Linked DNA regions of Caenorhabditis elegans. The protein of the gene in region 1 interacts with the protein of each later gene in a biochemical or structural test. Each region holds a gene or a part of one and is shown in the gene's direction. Other genes may lie near its edges.

Region 1 (10,055 bases):
ACCGAAAAAACGGCAATTGCCGAAAATTTTTGGAAAATTGCGGATTCGCACATTTTTTTTGGAAATTTCAGAATTTAAATTTTAATCGGCAAAATTGTTCCCATTCTGTGAATGTTCCTATATCTATTTTGAACAGTAAGCAAATTCTATGAAAATACTTAAAGAAAACGGGAAAAAATTTCAAAACGGCACATTTCCGGCAAACGGCAAATCGGCAAATTACCGAGAATGAAAAATTCCGGCAAATCCGCAAACCGGCAAGTTCGCAAAAAAAATTGCCAAATTTCCGTCCACCCTTAATTGGACATTCCCGACATTGCCGAATTTCAACATTTCCGATACAAAAATAAATATAAAATCAGTATAGAATGAAAATAGAAACCATGGGAACATTGAATATGCTTATTTCCACATTGATAGCGCATTTCTTCTTCTTCTTTTTTCTTTTTCATTTCCTTTTTCTTCTCCATCTCACCATATTTTTGCCCATTTCCTCCATCAGACACGCGCTCGCGCTCACTCGCTCACCACACTCAATTTTAGCTGTTTTTCCTTCTTTTCCACCCCCTCATATTGACTGACACATATATATTATATATATATATATATATAAAGATACATATATGCAAATTGATGTTCGGCAAATTGACATTGTGCAATTTGCCGAACATGAAAATTTCCGGCAAACTGGCAAACCGGCAGTTTCCCGGAAAACAATTTTCCGAACGACAATTGCCAGTTTTCCGGTATATATATTTATATATTCCCTATTACGATCAATATAGAATCCTGTTTAGCCAAAATCTTTTTTGATTTTTCCCAAGGAACAACATTTTAAAAAAATACGTACCTTTTTATTGCCACGAAATTTAATTGGAAAAAATCAATTTTGAAATAAAATGTATTTTTGTATTTATATAAAAAGCAATTCTATTTATTTTTAAAACGTGTTGGATTAGTTTTTTAAAATAAAAAAAACAACACCGAAATTTAGTCATTTTTCGTTCAATCGTTAGTGAGAAGCGGTGAGTTTTGGCGATTTTGAGCATTTTCCGTTGAAAATATGAGTAATTTCCTATTAAACTGGTTATTTCGATCGCGCTAGTGAAATTTCTTGAAATTGTGTAGCAAAATGGGCTTACATGCTATTTTAAGATGAGCAATTGAAGCATTTTATTTTGATTCAGTCAGAATTTTGAAATACTTACGAAAATAGCAATTATATCAATTCCAAATCAAAAAATATGGTACTTATGGGTTTCGTTCCCCCCAAAATGATTTCCATATTTTCTAATTGATACGTGAACTTTTTTTTCATTCCCAGGCTTAGGGAAATGATTTTCTAAGCCTTGTAAAAATGAAAACAGTATTAAAATAAACAATAACGTGTGGATTAAAATTAAAAAGGTAGTGTTGAATAATTAAAAATCATTTTGGGGGGAACGAAACCCATAAGTACCAAAAATATAGTTTCTTCTAGAAATATATTTTTTATTGCCGCTAAATTTAGAAAAATTCAATTTCGAATGAATATGTATTTATTTATTTTGAAAAAAACGTACATTAAAACGTGTCGGATTAGATTTTACTTCCCTTTTTTTAATTTTAAAATTCAAAAAATTCATTTCTATATTTAAAAATTTGGCAGTTTTGGCGTTTCCCTTTTATTACAGTGAGTTAGCCAACTTTTTCGAGCTAATAACATTACATTAAGCTTTAGAAAAAACTTTAGAAGTTTTGAGAAATACTACTTTTAAAACTTCGATTTTTTCAATTTTTGGCTAAATTCTATTCTAGTTTGAATATCCTCCAAAATGAGAGCTCCCCTACGACTATTTTGGATTTTTTGAAGCGAATCCTAAAAAAATGGGCTGAAAATGCCAAAAATCGTCTAATTTCCAGTAAAGTTTTTTGGCGAAATCCATATTTAACAGCTCTTTAATAGTCCTACAAATTCGACAAATTGCCGATTCGTCGGAAATTGGCCGGTTTACCGATTTGCCAGAAAAAGTCGTTTGCCGCCCACCCCTGTTCCCACTTTGGCTAGGAATTCCTAAAAGTTTATCGAATTTTGAAATGTTACTCCATTTCACCTCATATTTGCCTTAAATATCACCCATTTTTATACGTTTCCTCGTATTTTTCAAACCCAACGCCCAAATGAAATATTTTATTATTTTTTATTTTCAGGTGAATAGCCTCATTCTCTCCGTTTTCCCTCTCAAAAAACCACATCATATCCTCATCATCTAATCTCTGGCTCTTCTCATTTATTGGACAGAGCTCATATATACACACACACACACAAGAATCAAATCAATCAGTAGTGTGGTGTGATGAATAAGCAGTTACTATCGTGCTCGCTGAAAAGCGGAAAACAAGTGACGATGGTCGTCGCGTCAGTCGCCACGGATGGTGTTGATCAGCAGGTTGGTTTTGAGTGAGGAAATTTTAATTTTCTCGGAGAAATTTGGATGAAAAGAAGTTGGATATCAGAGGTGGGCGGGTATTTTTTTCGGATATTTTCTAATAATGAATTTATCAATAAGTATTGATGTAGTTATTCTGGAAAAAATGTATCCGAACAAAAGAGTAACTATTAAGCAACATTTTAATATGATAAAACCTAAAAAAATTCTACAAGTTTTCTGTATAAACGATATGCAAGTCCATTATCCGATATCCGTAATATCCGTAATATCCGATTGCTTAATAGTTACTCTTTTGTTCGGATACATTTCTTCCAGAATAACTACATCAATACTTATTGATAAATTCATTATTAGAAAATATCCGAAAAAATATCCGCCCACCTCTGGTGGAAATGCATGAAAATGAGGATTTTCACAAAAAAAAACTCTTTGGAAGTGATACAAATATATTTTTCGATATTTAGTACAACACAATAAATGAGTTATTACGTGTTTATCCACAGATAAGAAAAATCGCCATATCTGCCGCGCAAATGAACCCGCGGGAAGAGACAAAACTACTGTAGTTTTTAACCAATTTGTGTAGATTTACGAGCTATTGCGTCATCGTTGAATTTAATTTTGAGCCGCAATTTTTAATTTTCAGGCGTGTTTCACTCTTTTTTATATTGAAATTTATCTATTTATTGAATAAATCTTAAAAGAAAACACAAAAAAATTAGAAAAACGCCTGCAAATTAAATTCAACGATGACGCAATAGCTCGTAAATCTACACAAATTGGTTAAAAACTACAGTAGTTTTATCTCTTCCCGCGGGTTCATTTGCGCGGCAGATATGGCGATTTTTCTCATCTGTGGATAAACACGTAATAAATAGGTTGACAAAATTGTTCTCCTTTTCCTCGTGGAGTACACGATTTTACTCAAGCACTTAAAATATCAATTTCTTCAAAAAAAAAAAAAGGAAATTTGCTGGAAAACTAGCTGATAAAATGTGAAAAAATTATTATTAAAAAATCTCCAAACGAAAAAAAACACTGTAATTCAAATTTTAATTAAAAAAAAATGTATTGTAGGTTGAAATCTCGTACTACGATCAGAAAGTGATTGGAAATGGATCATTCGGAGTGGTATTCCTTGCCAAACTCTCTACAACAAATGAAATGGTTGCAATCAAGAAAGTTCTTCAGGACAAACGATTCAAGAATCGTGAACTACAGATTATGCGAAAATTGAATCATCCAAATATCGTGAAGCTCAAATACTTTTTCTATTCGAGCGGCGAGAAGAAGGATGAACTCTACTTGAATTTGATTCTCGAATATGTTCCTGAAACTGTCTACAGGTTATTTTTATTAGGATTTTTAAAAATTTCTGGAAAATTTCAGTTTTTAGCGGAATTTTTTTGTTCAAAAATAAAGAGAATTTCTTATTTAAAAATTGAAAAAAAAAATTTTTTTGGAAATTTTTAAATAAAAATTGCGAATTTCTTTTTTAAAGATATTTTTAAAAATTTTGAAAAACAATAGTAGAAATTCAATAAAAAGCTGAATTTTTATGTTTTTTTTTGTGAAAAACTGTTTAAAAATGATGTTAATGTAAATTTTTAAAGGAAATAATCAAAAAATGCCTGATTTTTTTAACCTTTTTTGTTAATTTCTGACAAAAATTCATGGAAATTTGATTTTCCGTCGATTTTGTGAAATTTTGGTTCGAAAATTGAATTTTTTCGCTAAATTTTGATTTTTTAAGATAAAAATTGATTTTTCCCGAATTCCAGCGCTACAGGGCGATTTCAAGCAGATTTCTTTGCAACATTTTTGACTAAAATGCACTATTTCACGAATTTCCTCCTGAAATTTATGTAAAAAGCTATTTAAAAGTTCAAAAATGCGTTCCAAACGTATAGAAAGGCTACAAACTACATGGCTGATAGCTTGGAATTTAGAAAATACGATTTTAAAACAAAAAAACTTGAAATTTTGCAAAATTCTTTACAAAATTGAAAATATTCTATTTTTTTATAATTTTGAATTTTCAAGTTGAAAACCTAGAAATTTTTTTTTGACAATTTTTGACTAAAATTTATGGAAAAAATTATGTAAAAATTGAAAAAATTTAGAAAAATCGATTTTTAAACAAAAAAACTTGATGTTTTGCGAAATTTATTTGAAATTTTTAATTTTTGCAGAGTTGCCCGGCACTATTCGAAGCAGCGACAACAAATTCCAATGATTTATGTCAAATTGTACATGTATCAGCTTCTCCGTTCATTGGCCTACATTCATAGCATTGGAATCTGTCACCGTGACATTAAGCCTCAGAATTTGCTCATTGACCCGGAAAGCGGAGTGCTTAAGCTCTGTGATTTTGGATCTGCCAAATATTTGGTTCGCAATGAGCCAAACGTCTCGTACATTTGCTCGCGATATTATCGTGCTCCGGAGCTCATTTTCGGCGCTACAAACTACACGAACTCGATTGACGTTTGGTCGGCTGGAACTGTAATGGCAGAGCTTCTTCTCGGCCAACCAATTTTCCCTGGTGACTCTGGAGTTGATCAACTCGTTGAAATTATTAAAGTTCTTGGAACACCGACTCGTGAACAAATTCAAAGTATGAATCCGAACTACAAGGAATTCAAATTTCCACAGATAAAGGCACATCCATGGAATAAGGTATTCCGTGTACACACGCCTGCTGAAGCGATTGATCTCATTTCGAAGATTATCGAGTATACGCCGACGTCTCGGCCAACACCTCAAGCGGTGAGTTTTTTGGGGGTTTTTGTAGAAAAAAGGCCGAAAAATGAATTAAAAATGTTTTCCCAACACTAAATTGCTGAAAATCGACTCTTTTTTCAACTAAAAACCTTTTAAATTGAAAAAAATTGATTTTTTGTCATTGAAAACTTGAGAAAATTGCCCAAAAGTTTAAAAAATACTGCGAAATTCAGGAATTTTAATCATTTTGGCTATTTTACAATTTTATGAGAAAAATCTCTAAAAATTAATGGAAGTTTGAATTTTTCGACTTTTTATCGAGATAATTAAAATGGCGAAAATTGCACAAAAAATGTCAAAAACTGATTTCCGGTAGTTTTTAACGTTTAAAAACACTTGAAAATGGAAAAACAAAACTTATATTAAAATTGTGTCAAAAAATTATTGAAATTGTCTAAAAATGGACTTTTTTTTTGTTTTTCGGTTTTGAAAGCGAATGTTCTGTAATTTTATTCTCAAAAAATGCGAATTTTTGCTCACAAAAGTTATTATGGAACACAAAATCCTTAAAAAAACATATTCGATGCGCAAAATATATCGTAGCGAAAACTACAGTAACCTTTTAAAGGACTACTGTAGCGCTGCGCTTGTGTCGATTTACGGGCTCGATTTTTATTCTGCATTTATTAATCAAAAAATGAGACAATAATACGAAGAAACGAAGGAAAATATAGAATAGATTCATATCGAAAATCAATCCCGTAAATCGCCACACGGAGCTATAGTACCCATTTAAAGGGTTACTGTAGTTTTCGCAATGAGATATTTTGCGCGTCAATTATGATGTGTAATACGCATTCTTCTCAGAATTTTCGGTTCCCGTAATATGAATGAAAAAAAAAGAGAAAGTTGAGTGTGATTTTTGAGACATTAGACAGTTGACTGAAAATTTATTTAAAAAATTTCGGCCATTCGGTCAGCTTATTTTTCCTCCATTTTGAAAATTGCAGATTTTGCAGATTTTCGATCGCTCAAAAAAAAAGCAGCCAGTTTGAAACGAAATTCAATGATTTTATCTGTATTTTTCCAAAAAAAAGTATCTTCATTGTTCACAAATTCGATCGCCCCCTCACAAAACCGCTTAGAAAGTCCACCCCGTTCGTTGGTTGCTTTTGAAAATCGCCTTAATATCTATCGTTGAAATCTTTGTTTCCTCATTGTAATTCTCCCATAGATCAAGCCATTTCCCGGTTTTTTTTCTTAGATTTCTCAAATTGGCACGAATATGGAAGATATTTATGGAAGCAGATGGGAGCATTAGATTTTTACACAAAAAAAATTGCAGAATTTTGGCTTTTTTTTCCAATTTTTGGAAAAAGATAACTTGTGAAACCGTGGTTTTTAATTTTGAAAAAAAAGCTATAAATTCAAAGTTAGTGAAATCTGAAATAGACATAAAAATTGAAAATCCCACTGAAATTTCAACTTGAATTTAACAAAATTTCAGCTAAAACTTGGAAAGAAATGTTTCTTGGAATTTTTATAGAACTCGCTGACAAGCAGTGAGCAGTAAAAAACTCGGCTCACAATTTATCCGTACTTTTATTTTTTGAAACTAGTAACTAAATGTCAACTGCAAGAATATTAGAGGCCATACTACAAATGAGATTTCCAGAAAATTATGATGTTCTCGTAATTTTAAAGATGGAGACATTTACGTGGTATGATGGTTGAAAATTAGAAAATTGGCTTGAAAACACTTTTAAATTTAGAAAAACCACAAAAAACGAGCAAAATCGAGAAAAATGAACAATTCAACTTTCGAAAACACGATTTTCCCTATTGTGACTAACTAGTATATTTTAAATTTCCATTTTGAATTTCCTCCAAAACGAGAACTTCCCGACCAATCAGCGATTCGTCCTGCCCACTTTTCAACCAATCAGATGAAGTGGGCGGAGTTCGATGTCGTTGATTGATCGATTGGGGAGTTTGCATTTTGGAGGGAATTGTCTGCGTTTTGATCTACAAAAAATGCGGGAATTTTTTCCCAGAAAAATTGTAACGTCTGCACGCTTTTAACCATGTGAAATCAGTTGAGATGTTTGCGTCTCATCTCCCGCATTTTTCGTAGATCAAATCAAAATGGGACTTTCTGACTCCACGTGGATTCAAACATGGGGAATTTGGAACTCACAATGGACAAAAATATCGATTTTGCTCGTTTTTCTGAATTTGAGACTGTATTTTGAAATTTTTGAGAGACAAAATCGCCCCCAATTCACGCTACTTTAACAATTCAACCAATATATATATGTTTTTCGTCTTTTTCAGGCCTGCCAGCACGCATTCTTTGATGAGCTCCGAAACCCGGATGCACGTCTTCCATCTGGTCGACCTCTTCCAACACTTGAGATGGACGGTCCAATGGGAACTGGTGAAGTTTCAACGACAAGCGGTGATGTGGCTGGCCCATCGGCTTAAACTTCTTTTTTTTATTTTAATATTGGTTCTGAATTTTCTCTCGAATGTTTCTTTTTTTTTCATTTTCCGTGGGATTTTTCTTTTCCATTGATTTTATACATCCATCCTCTCCTCTCTCTCTGTCTCTCTCTCTCTCCATACCTATCATCATTAAGAAAAAAATTATTATTTTTTCTTTTGAGCCCTCCCCCCCCCACCCCCCTCCATCGCCCGTATCGTCTCCATAGCAACTGTGTTGTAGAAGCATTTCCCCCCAACTCGATTGTCTGCTGCTCTTCTTTTATTTTATTTTATTGTCCCCTCAAGCTTTTTTGTCTCGAAAAACTTGAATTTTTACTCTTTTTTTTTTACCCCACCTGGCTCCCCCCTGGATTTTTCTGTGAAAATTTGGCTAAAAATTAGGTTTTCAAGGTTCCTGAAATTTTGGCTGAAAATTGGGTTTTAGGCCAAAAATTTTGGGTTTTTTAAACCTTTGGCCTAATTTTTGAGGCCCAATTTTTTAGGACTTCATCTAGGCCCAAAGGCCTGAAAAAATCCGCGACTTCTGTACATTTCCTCCCCCTCCGCCGCCGTTTTCTTTTGTAATCCCGATTTTGTGTTCCCACGCTCTCCTCTAAAGAAATTTCTAGCCAAAAATGAATTGAAAACTGCTCTCTCTCTCCCCCATATTTTCTGTCTTTTTTTCTTTTCTTTTTTTTGCTCTGTAAGTGTCTCCCCACAACGCCAATGTCCCTGTTTTTGTGGAAATTTTTTATATATTTTTTGGAAATATAGTATTTGTCCCCCCAATTCATTACATTTTAAAAATATTTTATTTTTCCCCACTCTACCACCACCACCAACTGAAATTTCACACACCATCCAAATTCTCTCCGTCTCTCTCTCTCTCTCTCATTTTATTTTCATTTTTTTTCCTGGAAATAAAAGTGGATCGATTTTTCTGAAGATTTTCGAGATAATGATCATCCCCCCGCGCGCGCATCTCCGAATAATGCCTCTTCTTTGGACATTAAACAGTCATTTATTTGTCCGATGCGCCTTTGAAGAGACGAGAAGCTTCCTTGTTAATATTTTTCATTTTGAACCGCTGGCGCTGAAATTTACTATACATTGCTACTGAACATAAATGGTGAGGCTGTGGTGGTTTTGTAGTTTGTAGTCTTTGTGACTACAAACTACGAAAATTACTTTTTTTTTCCGCTTGGAATTGGCTTTAAAATGAAAGTTTTTTTAGTTTTTGAAAATTGGAAATTTTTTTAAATTTTAGATTTTCAGAGCGAAATCGACGATTTTTTTTTCGAAAACCGGGATTTTTATGAAATTTTGCTATTTTTGCGCAAAAAATACGGTACCGGGTCTCGACACGACAATTTTTTGTCGAATACGAACAGGTGTGCGCCTTTAAAGGATACTGTAGTTTCAAACTTGTGTTGCTGCGGAGTTTTCATCGATTTTTCGGTTTTTTTTTTGGTAAAAGCATATTTAAAACTCAAATATTACAATAAAAACACTTAAACTTAAACAATTTACCGAAAGAAAGACAGAAAAATCGATAACAATTGCATAGAAACAAAAGTTTGAAGTTACAGTACTCTTTAAAGGCGCACACCTTTTCGTATTTAACAAAAACTGTCGTGTCGAGACCGGATACCGTATTTTTGGGGCGAAAATCACAATTTTTTACGTCTGGTTAATATTTAATAATTTTTACGAATTTTTCAATAAATTTACATTTTTTTCAAATTCTTTATTTTTTTAAGCGAGTTATTGTGAAAAGTTATACATTTTCTTGCAATTTTCTTTAAAAAGTACAAAAAATTGGTTTTTTTCAAGAAAAAAATTCATGGCCGAGGTTTCCATTTTCACGGCCACGTAGAAAAATTCGACTACAAACTCCAAAAAAAAAACCTTTGAAAATCTTTAAAAATCCAAATTTCCACGAGTTTTTTTTCTTCCAAATATTTGCTAAATGACTGGTTGGTTATTGGAAGTGTACGAGTGTGTGCTAAAAAAGAAATAGAGCGCAGTTTCCACTACACTGTCTGCGGTCTCTGCGCTCGGCACACTCTCTCGTCGTCTCTTTCTCTCTCTCTATTCATACAAGAGAAGAATTTCGATTGAAACGTGTGTGTGTGTGTGTGTGTGAAATACACGTGGATTCCACATTTTGCACTCTTTTGAACCATTTCATTATGTTCTTTTTCATTTAGATATTGGTTGAGGCTCAGAAATTGTGTAGTTTGTAGTCTGAGCCTTAATGTTTAGGCGTTTAATTACTTAATAAAACTTCTAATATTTCGTTTAATATTATATAATTTACTTAAATTTACAAGTTCGACTGTTAATTTTCATCTTTTCCAATTAATTTTTTTAATTGAAACGGAAATTTCTGAAAATTTTCGATAAATCCAAGGC
Region 2 (5,897 bases), on another chromosome or scaffold:
TATTACCCATTTGCAAAAGTTTATGCGATTTCTGCTTCAAAAATACAAAAATAGACAGATTTTCTGAACTTCAAAAAAATCGTGCACCTTTAAGGCCTACTGTAGTTCCCAACTCCCATTTTTCAACCGATTTACGTTAAAAAGGTATAAAACCAACCCAAATCTGAAAGAAACTAGTGAAAAAGAGTGATTTTTCCTAGTTTTCCGCCCGTTTCTACGAAATTTGGCGTGTTTTTACATGTTTTTTAATAAATTTTATTTAAATAATTGGGTGAACACTTGAGGAGTTGGGAAATACCGTAGGCCTTAAAGGCGCACGATCCCTTATGAGTTTGAGTAAATCGGGTTTTTTAAAGTATTTTTGGAGCAAAACTGTAAAATTTCACATCTCGTTAAGAATGGATTTACAATATTCATTTTCCGGTATAAAGATCGATTTTATAATTTTTTGGTTTCAGAAACACCCTAATTTTTATACATTTTTCAGGATCGAAACAAAAATTTCAAACCACCATATCAAATTCATGCTGATTCACTGGTTGACAATGGTGTCAAATACAATGCAGTTATGACACTCAACACAGATGTTCGATGGACTCGTGCAATGGCTCTAATGCTCACAGATCTCAAAGCTGCGTGTGCTCAATGCGATGCTCTCAGATCGCCTATTTAGTGATTTCACGGGATCAAATGTAGAATAACATTTTCAACGCTAGAAATTTTTTTTTCAATTTCTCAGGGACGCTTCTTTAAAAAATATTCAATTTTCATTGTGATTTCTAGTTTTTTTTTTCAAATTTTCTGCTGGAATTCTGCCTTTTCCCCAAACTTGTACCATATGTAAATATATTAAAAGTAAAGATTTTTATTGCAGTCTTGTGGAGGAAATTTTGTTATTTTTTGTTGATTGGTTTTGAAACCAATTCTGTTATCTAAAATTTGAATTTTTCCTAATTTATTTTCTCTTTCTTGTTGCTTTACTTGGTTTAATGATTATTAAAATTTTCTGAAACTGTGAAATCAAGTTCCTACCACTAAACTTATTTTAATCTGATTTTACTAATATTGCCTCAAAATTTTCGAAAAATGTATAACTGAAAATATCGAAAAATAAGGTCCAAATTTTGCTAAATTCTGGATTTTTTTAAAGCTAAAACACCGTTTTTTTTTTATTTTCGACCAAAATGTGTGGAAAATTTGAATGTTTTTTCGATTTTTCCAGTCATAAACGTTTTTGAAATTATTTAAATAAATATCACTATGAAATTCGGCACTTTTGTGCCAGATTTAGTTTTTTTTAAGCGAAAACCTCCCACAAACTATATTCCTCCTTTAATTAAATTTGAAAAAAAATACTGTAGGTTTTTGTAGACAATACAATTCCCCAAAAACGAAGTTTCTAGTTTTTTCTAGAATAGTTCTTGTAATTCCGAAAATTCCCGTTTTCTGAATTCTAGAAAAAAAATTGTTGTAACTCAAAATATTGCAGAGAAGGCCTCGTGTCGTCGTTCACGCGTTTCTCCTCCGTCGATCGGACTCTGGTCACTCAGCCGCGAGTCCGTGTCCGAATATTGTTGAGAGAAGTGTTCCACTCATTCTCACAGGATCTATCATAATCCAGTCAGTCGATGGGCGGTTCATCACGCCGTCAGCGAAGTACGTCGGCGACGAGACGAGACGATAAACGAAGACGAAGACAGTGCTTCTCTTCGGTAGCCGACGACGAAGAAGAGACGACGTCAATTTATGGAGTGTCGGTTAGTTTTTTTTTTGTTGGTTTTATCAAGTAAAAAGACCTGAAGAATATCATCATTTCACGGGAGAGCATGACTTTTCGTATCACTTTTCCAGTCAACTCTTGCAATTCTGATTCAATATTACTTGCATTTACAATTTTTGTTTTCTTCATGTTCTAAATCCAACTTTAACTAAGATTTGTAGATTTTTTCCCAAGATTTTTGGCTCAAAATTCCAGCTTTAACCTTAAACATGGCTTTTCTCTTCACGGATTACTTAATTTCTTCAGAAACAAGAAAAAAAACTAAAAGAATAACCAAGATCTGAGTGGAGCCTATTTTTAGCTTTTTTAAGCTTTTTCATCATCTACCTATATATTATTCTTGGAAGTTTCTATTAATTCGAGTAGACTAAAATAGGGAAAATACACCACAATTGAGAGTCGAGTTTTCAAAAATATGATTTTTCAAGTTCAAATTCAAACATTTTTTCTTATTTACACCCGGTTATAGATCATTTCTCAAAGACCGCGTAACATATTTACTTTGAACAGCTTTTCCTTCCCAAACTCCATATCAGACCACCTTCTCCTCTTATCACTTCAGTCACATCACTCTCGTTATCTAGGTCTCCCGCATTGTTACGTGTTAATCCCAACTATCTCATGTAGAATGTCACAGTTGCCTCGTTGTCTGAAACTATTCACGGCTCATTCTGTCTCTCTCTCTCTCTCTCTGTTGCAATAATGATGCCGGAACGACTATGTTCGTAAATGCCAGAGGACGAAGTCGAAGTCCTCTGAAAAGTAGAATTTCAAAAATTCAAGAAAACAATGGAAAGCGTGATCTTTGTATTTCAGAGCCGCTAAGAAGACCGTTCCCTTCCGAAATCCTTCTTCCGCCAGATCATCAGATTTTCAGATATTTTCCAATCTCTTCAATCTTAAACTTAGCCTAAAATATTACTGTCTGTACATTGTCCTCCATATATGTATATTATACAAACATCTTGCCGGAGTCGCTCCAAAATCGCAAACCCCCGATTGCCTATATGCCAGCTTGATAGCAGCATTACCATCCTGATAGACACCCCACGAGGCTCTTGATTTTTCGAACTTTTTCTGCTACGCCGACAGCGACTATCAACAACGGTTTTCCACCACCACGTACAATGTTTGATCAAACCGTTTGATTAAATTGACGCTCTCGGTGCAAGATGATATCATCTGGAAATGAGACGTTTAAAACCGAAAAAATGACTTGAATCATATCTGTGGTCTGATTGTGAATGGGTGCGGTTGACATGGTTAGTTGGGTTTTTGCACGCAATGGATCAAGGAATTGGTATAAGTTGAAATTCGGATCACAGCTTTCGATTTGTAAAAATTGAAAGTATGATTATTTATTGACAGAATATGAGTAGAAGCTTTCTTCTACTATATTCTAATTGAATTGCAATGTATTTGACATGCTGAACCTATTCGTTTTCACGGTTGAGGTCAAGAAATATAATTCTGAACATCACGTTCTACGAGAATTCATAAACAGCCAAATATGATGTCAAACTCACAGTACACTCAAACAGAAAGATTGAGTTCTTTGAGTTCCGACGGAACTACTATATTCTAAATTTCGCGATTTTTGATCATAATATCCTGAAATAAACAGGATATGTTCTGATTAATTGAGATTTTCAACCAAATATCAGACTATTATGCGCTTGTTTTTATTTTTGTTGTAGTAATAATAAAAATAAAAACACGTGGTTTGTAGCAGGTTTAGTATCATAATTATTTTTAGCCAAGATTTCGAAGAATTCTGATCACATATCAACAGGGAAGAAGGTGTGTGGATAATTCAATTTTCCCATGCATGTCTGACGCAGGTGGTTTGAATAATTCAGTTGTAGCTCAATTGTAGATGTATCCGATTTCCGTGTGCACCCAAACCTCTCTTTTTTAGAATATCGAAAATCTTTTCTTTTTCTCGTCAAGTGATATCTTTTGCATCTCTCATATATTTCTTATCAGTCTTGGCACAAACTTCAAACTGATATGCTTTATTTTTGAATTTTTGGTTCCTTTCCAAAAAAAAACTTGGATTTTTGGAAACGTGAAAACCAGCACGCATTTTGAAATTAGGCGTTGAGAAGAAATTAAATCAAAACAAATTTTTTATTCTCAGCAGTACCACCAAGCATTAAGTTTATTGAATAATTGTTTTAAACTGTTCTCTCGGTTTCGTGAGTTTCAGTTTCAATCGTTTTTCAAAGTATTCTGTACTAGACTTGTAACTTTTTTCGAAAAATATATCAACTTTTTGAATCAAAAATTAATGTTAAAATGTAGGAAAATGCTCGTTCGGTTTGAAAAAAAAATTTTTTTTGAAAACTTTTTAAAAGACGGCACAATTGAAAGTCTTTTTCAAACTTTTCCAACAAAAATACATATCATTTTCAGATTGAGCGAGCATTTTCCTACATTTTTATATTCATTTTTGTACGTTTGCCGAAATATTTTTCCGCACAGTCCTGCTCTGTACTACTTCTGTGTGGATTCATCAGAATTTAAGGGCAACGTGCTATGAAAAATTGCATCAACATCCACACACACATTCTCCAGATCTTCGGTTTTTCACCTCCCACCGTCTACTACCTGCCTGCAACAATTCGGTCGCACTCGCCCTCTCGCTACAACATTCACCTGCCGTTGTGTAGTCGTTTTGTAGTCGTCGTCTTTGGTGCAAGCGGCGAGCGACAATGCTGGTCTTATCAGCTTTCGTTGACTTCGTTACGGCCCCCACAGCAGCCTTCTCTTCTAGTTTTTCATTTAATTGGTCAATTTTCTGCGCACGTTAATTTACCGCGCACCAAGATTTCGGATCAAAAAGTTGCGATTTTCGATCTCCACAAGTCTGTGTCTATCTGTGTTCAGGCAAATAGACACGGCGGTCACAAAATTTTTTTACCTCTGCGTCTTCCCATTGGACATGCGCTTTCCAGCATTCTCTCGTACACCCTGCGTGTCTACAGTTTCAGCCATCTCTCCTCGTCTTGTGATCTACTCTATCGGCGCGCTCTCTCGTATTTGTCATCATTTCCATGGCGGCAAGTTAGCACAAATCGTAGAGAACTTAGAGAAATAAGGACACCGAGTGCACTGTTTCGATGGTTTTCTTTCGTTGTCTCTGGAAATCGCCTTTCTTTCTGTTTTTTGACGCCATTTTTCACTTGGTAACCTCAACACGACAACTAACTTCTTGTGTTTACTGTTTTTGGAATCAATTGTCTTTTATTTTTTTTGCGGTTTTGGACCGCCCAGAAATCGGAGTTCTTTTTTGAATTGTTGATTGTCAGGCGCCTTTGAATGTATGTTTTTCTTTCAATTCCAGTTCAATCAGGCACCTGACCCAAGCACTCTCAACTCTCACTGATAGCAAGTTTGAACTCGAATTTTCGGCAAATGTTTTAGTTGCCCTTATCTAGAATTATATTCTCACTCACTCGTATAAGCTTTCTCGCTTTTTCATGATTTTTTGTCGCATTTCAATCACTCGAAACTGACTTTTGTTTTAGTTTTCACGCAATTCTCGCTTTTCTCCCAATTTCAATAGTTTTTTTGTAGATTTCTCGACTCAATTCTGCAAGTTCCTTAAAAACCCGTATATCTACAGTAACCCGTTAGCACTTCTATTGATTTTTCAAAAAAAAACCTTTTCTCGTTTATTTGACCAACTTTTCTTGTTTGCTCTCTAGCTTTTTTTGTTCTGATCCAGTCGTCTCTAGACAGTTCATAGTTCACTTTAACATAACTGTTCTAGGCAAAAATGTTTGGTTTTATTTTTTGAAAACTAAGAAACTTTTAAAAAAGTGACTTCTTACGGTAGTCTTGTAGCATTTTTTTAAAAACAGAATTCAATTTTTGAAAAGTATTGCGAAATCTTTTGCATCATCGCAATTTTTTCTATTGTTTATTTACATCTGATATTATTGTTCTAGAAAATTCGAACCTGATTTTTTATTCGAACGACTTCCTGTGTCCTCTTTCTCTAAAATTTATCTGAAATTCAAATTTGGCGCCAGGCCAAACGCCAATGACATCATCGAAAATCAGTCTGTAGTGAGTGAAAAACGGTGTACAGAACTAACAACAGTCACGTAGG

The links.
Region 2: of the proteins of gsk-3 (region 1) and skn-1, one has a biochemical effect on the other in vitro, tested with the Caenorhabditis elegans proteins (2 studies listed by BioGRID).

The regions. Positions count from the first base shown.
Region 1 is NC_003279.8:12,817,026-12,827,080, forward strand, and holds gsk-3 (Glycogen synthase kinase-3), read left to right. Parts: upstream 1-2,190; 5' UTR 2,191-2,336; coding exon 2,337-2,429; intron 2,430-3,509; coding exon 3,510-3,778; intron 3,779-4,624; coding exon 4,625-5,201; intron 5,202-7,093; exon of another isoform or gene 7,094-7,147; intron 7,148-7,490; coding exon 7,491-7,640; 3' UTR 7,641-8,577; downstream 8,578-10,055. Other genes in the region: nhx-8 (Sodium/hydrogen exchanger), read left to right, coding at 8,767-8,769.
Region 2 is NC_003282.8:5,656,116-5,662,012, reverse strand, and holds the start of skn-1 (Protein skinhead-1), read left to right. Parts: upstream 1-1,628; coding exon 1,629-1,757; intron 1,758-4,447; exon of another isoform or gene 4,448-4,597; intron 4,598-4,642; exon of another isoform or gene 4,643-4,695; intron 4,696-5,897. Other genes in the region: bec-1 (Beclin homolog), read left to right, coding at 488-673. UniProt on the Caenorhabditis elegans protein: Transcription factor. Required to specify the fate of ventral blastomeres in the early embryo, and postembryonically for the development of the intestine. Directly regulates expression of zygotically expressed med-1 and med-2 to direct mesendoderm development.